2 linked regions of the Cricetulus griseus genome follow. The protein of the gene in region 2 interacts with the protein of the main gene of each other region in a biochemical or structural test. Links are inferred from orthologs where the notes say so. Each region holds a gene or a part of one and is shown on either strand. Other genes may lie near its edges.

The links. The genes of interacting proteins can lie anywhere in the genome.
Region 1: the proteins of Ets2 (region 2) and Zmynd11 form a complex in vitro, tested with the Homo sapiens proteins (2 studies listed by BioGRID). The link is inferred for Cricetulus griseus from reciprocal best matches to the Homo sapiens genes ETS2 and ZMYND11.

What each region holds. Positions count from the first base shown.
Region 1 is NC_048596.1:233,952,659-233,956,178, forward strand, and holds part of Zmynd11 (zinc finger MYND domain-containing protein 11), read right to left. Parts: intron 3,079-3,520; coding exon 3,001-3,078; intron 2,264-3,000; coding exon 2,145-2,263; intron 1-2,144. UniProt on the Homo sapiens protein: Chromatin reader that specifically recognizes and binds histone H3.3 trimethylated at 'Lys-36' (H3.3K36me3) and regulates RNA polymerase II elongation. Does not bind other histone H3 subtypes (H3.1 or H3.2).
Region 2 is NC_048597.1:2,209,673-2,213,192, forward strand, and holds part of Ets2 (protein C-ets-2), read right to left. Parts: intron 2,253-3,520; coding exon 2,134-2,252; intron 1,220-2,133; coding exon 1,004-1,219; 3' UTR 1-1,003. UniProt on the Homo sapiens protein: Transcription factor activating transcription. Binds specifically the DNA GGAA/T core motif (Ets-binding site or EBS) in gene promoters and stimulates transcription.

The DNA of each region.
Region 1 (3,520 bases), on a different chromosome or scaffold from region 2:
TGACAGGAGGCAAAGGTGATTTATTTAGAACATGGAATTCATATGCTCCTATTGCACAGGGGCAGTCAGCAAGTGTAAAAGTGCACTGCTTCAGTGAGGATCCTGTGACAGGTGTGCACAGTGGCCTGGTCACCTACCAGGACAGATGCTCCTTTCAACACAATTTAAAACATTTCCATGCATAGGTATCAGTTTAAATTAACATTGGGTACTCTGAGCTATAAAAAAAAAAAAAAAAAAAAGACAAGGAGTAAGGACATCCCAAAATTCAATGCTAGTATAATAAAGTAAAAATCTATGAACTTATTCTGTGACTTACTACAAATTATTCAACATCTTTCTTGCTGGCTCCTGACTGGGGTCATGCTATCTCCAGCAACTTATAGTAAAAAGGTCTGGCTGCCTTAGGGAAGCTGACTGGTCCAAAGCAACTGACCATCTTGCAGATCCTAGACAGACCCACTCCCACAGGTCCCATGTGCAGGCAATAACTGGCTTCTCCTGCAGGCTAAGTCAGCCTCACAGTCTGAAAAAGCGAGTCCAAAATTATTTGCTTATTTTTTTCTGCACCCTATGTGTAATACAATAAATATACCTATCAAAAACAAAACAAAAAGTCCTCAAAACCAGTGCCTCCTCATGAGCCAGTCTTTTGGTGCTTAATTCATAATTACAATTTCTCTTTATTTTCAATACATCAAATACTCTAATATGGTAGATTTTTACTGTGTCATCTAAGCAATCATTCATGACATACTCTATCCAGATCAATGATTCTACATTACATGATAGACTAGCAAGTCTATTGAGATGCCTATCTATCTGGAAGTTTAAAAAAATTCCCCTCCCCATTTTCCTGATATTTGCTTTATAACTCATCACTTTGCATACTGCCACCACCAGCTAGGTGTTATGCTATGTCTGTATCAAGCTTTCATGAGGAGTGAGGCCCAGCTTTCCCAAAGCTCAGAGAGCCTGGCTAGTGTATCTGGATGAGAGTCAGTGCAGAGACTTGGACACACACTGACAGACACTGACTTACCTCACTGGCATGTGTACAGTGCCCCCTTGTCAGAATCTGAAACTAACTAGATATGATACATGAAGCTAGTAATGCTAAAACTAACCTATTCATCAAAGGCTAAAATGTTCACTCTGTATTAAGATTGAATGTTGTGTTATTAGTTTGTGTTTCTTAACATAAATCTGGATAGGTGTGTCTATTTATGAATGAGAAAACAGACATTTAAAGTACTCACAGGTTATATAAGACAAACTATAATCCAGGAGGGGAAAATGCAATCCTTTGTCTTGAAGCTTCTCGTACATGACTGACCTCTACCCCAGACACTAAGATCTAAGGAGATATTCAAAGTACATGCATGGCTGACTGGCAGCACGATTCCCATCCCTTTAATATCTGTGTTAGAGGAAACTTTTCTGGCTTTATCACTGGACTCCTTACTTTGAGTCCAATGGGACTTCTCAAAAGTTGAATTCATTTTTCTAACCCAAACTAATGTTGACAACACTTAATGGCATTACTGTTAAAACCCTAATTTTTCATGATCAATGTTATTAGGGCCTCAACTAACCCTGAGAACAGTATTGTAAGTGTGTCATCCCACAGGTTGGTATCTAAGAAATGCATGAGGTAATTTTATAGTCAGTTTCTTTTTTTTCTTTTAGAATACATACATTTTATGTATTCCACATATGTAAGTTTTTAAGTTTTACAAATTCATGCCTGGGAGTGGAGACACTGCTTTGTAACTGTGTCTGTCCCTCTCCTCTATACTCACTGTGCTTGTCCACATTCTTAGACTGATGCTACAATCCCAAGCTGATTGTTTTTACCCGTTAATAGGGTCACAGAGAAGACTCAAATACCTGCACATCTTTACAGTGTGGAACGGACATGCCTGTGGGTTCACCCCCGCATCCAATGCCCTGCATGATGGGTTCAATCTCAGCACTAGTGTGCTCTGTACCTGAGGACCAAACATCCCACTAAAATGCCGTTTACAATAATACTGGAAAACCTGCATAAGTTACTTCCAGCTACAGGCATGTGATGTATTTGAAACAGCATTCAGCATACATACATCAGCGCAGATCTTACCACTGTGTGAGTTGGGGATTACCTCTGGTGGTGGTGGCCAAAGAAGCGAACATCAACTTGATTGTCTTCTTTCTGCATAACTTTGGCTGGCCAAAACCCAAAACCTTTCATTTTAGCCCAAACCAGCTCATGATTAGGTATCTGAAAATGAAATGTTCTTTCTTTTAATACTGAACTACTTAGAGAATCATGGGTTAAGTAAGACATAATCCATTTGGATAATGTTTCCTTTTAACTCTGAAACACATACATGTGTTTTGTTTTGTTTTCTCTTGTCATCAAGAAAAACAATTCATATACTTAAGAGAAAACAGAATTATGGACTATTTCCCAGATGAGGCAGGAACTGGAAAAGGTCACCTCTAAAGTCAAGGGCCCTGTGCATGATAGTAGTAAACAGAGTTCCCTGACTTTGCTTCTGTGCCCAGCATCACCTGAGTATTTGTTAGAAAGGGGAGAATTAGGCCCCACACAGAGTTTCTGATTATGAGGTCTCCTAAGTCCACCCAATGTCAATGTTACTGAGAATACTGCCCTCAAATACCCTGAGGCTTTTTGCCATTTCAGAGGAAATGATGGAGCTACAGATATAAGCAAAGTCACAGGTCTCCTCTTATAAATGAGAGGAAAAGCAAAGATTCACTCTCCTGTCTATCAAAGGACCCAGTACATGGTCTTACTAAGTACTTTGTTTGAAATTCAGAACTAAAAAACAGTTACTGTTATTTTCCCATGTTTCAGTTGTACACATTCATTAAGACCATGTGTACTATGATGTAAAGAACTAAATTTCACAGGTATTATTGTCCCTAAGTAAACAGGAAGTAACTATGACCCAAATGGTACTCTATAAATGAAAATGACAAAATTCCACATACGCAAGGATAGCAGAACCAGTTGTCGGGCCGTGCATTTGATAGATAGAAGCAGTTCTTGCAAAGCTGCAGCTCATCCAGCTGAAAAGCAAAGCAACGGTCTGAGCCAACCAATGCGGCTTCGTGGGACTGACAGGCAGCTCTCAGTCAGGCCCGCACTTAATCTAGTACACTTAAAATCTTGTAGGAGGACTGCCACTCACTGACCAGCATGTGGAAGACATGCTGGGGTGACAGTGCCCTTCCCTTGCTGTGCCACTGCCGTCCCTTGCTTGCACACTGTTCTCTTCATCACTGTAAAGACCACTTGTTTTTTTCTTTTTTTCCTTCCTGTCATCAATCTCTTTTCAGAAGACAGCTCTCCATACACTAGAATCTAGACCTATAGCACCATTTCATTCCTTCTGGCACACTGTAGACATTCAGCAAAATGGCTGTTCAACAACTAAAAGGGAAAAGTCAAATTTAAAATGAACTGAAGAAATCACACTTATTATATGAGAATTTTTACAAGAATAATACT
Region 2 (3,520 bases):
TTGCTGGAAAACACAGTTACGCCAAAAAATAAAATACATTTGTGTAGAAACCGACTTAAGGCATGCAGAGAAGTGGAAAACATGTGCCATTTGTCAAGAAAAATACTGCTTTATAGCTTTTACTTTACAGTCCAGGAGGAAGTGGAGAGGCCCGAGGCACCCTCAAATAATAACATTAAATTTCTTATATAAAAAAAAAAAACAAACCTCAATATACAAAGTCCTGGCCAGATAATGAGCAAGTCAGAACTAAAATAACAACAACAACAAAAACAAAAGTAAAAACCAGGGGTCATCCCTCAGACCCCATTCCTGTTGGAAAATCAAATGAAAACAGTATATTACGATTTCTCTCAGTTAGCTCCTGAGAGATTAAATCTGTGTAAAATGACATTCCTAGGTGCTAGTGAAAAAAAAAAAGAAAAGAAAATCTACCAGGTATCTGCATTCTTGATTCAAACACAGTTATAATTACTTTTAAATACAATATACAATTTCTGTTAAATAGAACGGTTGGCGGATTTTGACGTTATAAGATACAATAATATGTACAAAATGACTTCCGAAATGGAGCAGTCGCTGCTCTCCACCTGCCTAGCTGGCTCTCAAGAGGTGGCTTTTGCATTTGCTACTCCTGGTGGCAAAAGGCCAAAGGAAAAACAATGTTTTTCAGGGTTTGTGCATCCACCACACGCTAGCTCCCTGGCGCATCTCAAATAGCCTCAATGACTGTGATCAGCACACAGCCTGCTCGGTGCTGGGGTGGCTTCCCAGAGCCCCTTCCCTTCCAGGTCTTGTGTCAGGACAGAGAGGCCATGCCACCTTCCACCACTGGGGAACTGGCCTTGTGGAAGAGGCATGGAATGAAAGGAGGCCATTGCTGCTTGGCAGCTCCCAGAGGGGTTCCATCCTGCCCTCCCAAGGGTCTTTGGAGCAGTGGGTCAGGACAGGCTTCCCACTCAGTCCCCGGGCCCGGGGCCAGCTCAAGGTCGTCCCAAGGACCTCAGTCTTCTGTGTCAGGCTGGACGCCCAGGATGGCATGCAGTTCCTCAGGAGTGAACCCTAGCAAGTTCTGCAGGTCACACACAAATCGGTACACGTAGCGCTTGCCTGACGTCTTGTGGATGATGTTTTTGTCATAGTAGTATCGTAGACCCCGGCTCAGCTTCTCGTAGTTCATCTTTGGTTTATTTTTCCTCTTTCCCCACCGGCGGGCCACCTTTGGGAAGACATAGAAAGGTCAGAGTCACCTGTGTCAATCTTGATTGCCTCCCCTGACCCTGGATGCTCACCCTATAGGACCCAAGTCATGGGGACATGTCTGGGTCACTTTAAATGTGTGGAGATGCTTCTCTGTACAAGGGCCAGGGATGTCCCCATCTCCCCCTGTCCTCCAGCTCCTGGGGCCAACCATTTGGAACCAGGGGTGTCCCAGACAGGGTCATCTGTTGTCAGCCATCCTCTATAATGCTTATTTCAACACTGCCCTACACCCCCCCCCCCAACCCCTTTTAAAAAGCTAGCGTCTCATAACCCTAGGTTGGTCATTACCCTCCGCCAACCTCTGCTTCCCTGCTGATTACAGACAGGAGGGTGCCATGACACCTGACTGGTGGTGCTGGGGCTAGAAGCTACGGCTGTGAGCGAGCTAGGCAGCCACTCTGCCAACTGAGATACGTTCCAAGCCATGTGACAGCTGGAAAGACTGCCCTGGCTCATGCATGAGACATGCTTATTCCCCCAGACACAGAGAGGGTGACAGATTACGTTATGTATATTGCTGGCATCATGCCTTACCAAAGCCATCTCCAGCAGAGGGACCCAGGGCCAACCCTGAAGGCTCCTTGGCTGCTATGTGCCTTGTCCAACTTGGGACAAAGGTGAATTCCCGCTAGAACTTGCCGAGGGTAACTAGAGAACCTGTGACGGACAATGTCCATGGAGGGAGGGCACTGCCCAAAGGACACTGGGCCCATTCATGAACAAGCCCTCGAGTGGCGTCCTTCGGCTCAGCTAGCCCCAGAGCCGGAGCTCCTGGTTGGGGAAGGGCTCTTGCTGGTTCTGTTGACTTTCCCTGTGTCCGGGGCCAGCTTTAGAACCCAAACTGGGGTTGAGGGTGCAAATGGTCCGTACCTCGTCAGGGTCAGCAAGCTTGAACTCCCATCCATCCCCTGTCCAGCTGATAAAAGATTGACAGGATTTGTCAGAGAGCAGCTCCAGAAGGAACTGCCACAGTTGGATGGGTCCGCTTCCTGGGGATAAAGGGAGGCAGGTTAGAGAGGGTTCTTCAAGGTCAGCTGGAACCTGACCCTCCCAGGGATCAGGCTGTCTTGAAAACATGGACCCCACCAGGGACTGTATGGACGAACAGGTGGCGCCTCAGGGAAGCACTTTAACGGACAGAAGCCACAGTAACCTCCTCTCTACCCAGTACTCCTCCAAGAGGATGGCTGAGCCAAGGCTCTTCCTTGGCTGCTGTCTTTGTCTTCTGGGAGGAGGATACAGGGTCACCAGCCCTCATCAGTACCAATCCTGCCTTTTTAATGCTTTCCAGCACCTTAAAAATTTTATTTCTAGAAAGACCCAGTGGGGCTGGGGTGGGTACTTAAGGGTCATTTCATCACAGGCATTCATCGCTGTTTGATGTGAGACCTGGCTGCATGCCACACTCACGAGGTGACCTGTATCTACAGCCGTCTGTCTTTTTGCTCCACAGGCAGTCAGGACTACCATTGTGAGGAGGAGGAGGCTTGCTGCAGCCTCACCTTTCTTAAGGATGTACTCGGGAGAGTGACTTGTCTTGGGTCCCTATCACAGATTAGAGAAGGAAAGCTGAGGTCTGTCCCTAAGCCCAGCTGTCACCTTGTCTGCAAATGTGAAAAGGCCTTGGGGAGGGACAGAAAGACCTCAGATGGGGCCAGGCCGAGCTGACTCACTTCAATGGCCACTAGGGCTTGTCACCTCTGAACTGATATTCCTTAGTGCGTCTCCACACTACCCGAGGTAACACCACAGGCCACAGGCTGGGCTACCCAACAAACAGTACTACTATAACCATCCAGGTAGACACTCCTAATGCTGTCAGGTTTCTTTGGATTCCTAGGTATCAAAATGGCCTTAGGTTCATAGATTATATATATATATATAATCTTTTTCATTGTCAAAAATATGTAAATATATATATTTGTTTTTGACAATGAAAAAGAAAATCCACATCTTCATTTTAATCTTTTTTTTTTAAGCTTTTTTTCTTTTAAAATCCATAGTGGCTTCTTATGGCCAGCATGAGAAGAAGGTTTATTTAAAGGCATCTATAGTGGTGAAAATGAACATTCTTGGTATTTTTGCCCCAGTTTTGAAATTGTCTGGTTCTAAAAACAGCTTTAAGATTCATTCTCTGCCCAGAAGAGTTCTCTCCTCCTCTTAGATGGTTTTGGAGGAGGTCAAGAGAGGTAAATAGTGCTGGTATCCCATGAGCCAGCTCCCACCCTTCCCAGGCCAGTTTACATTCCTGGAGATC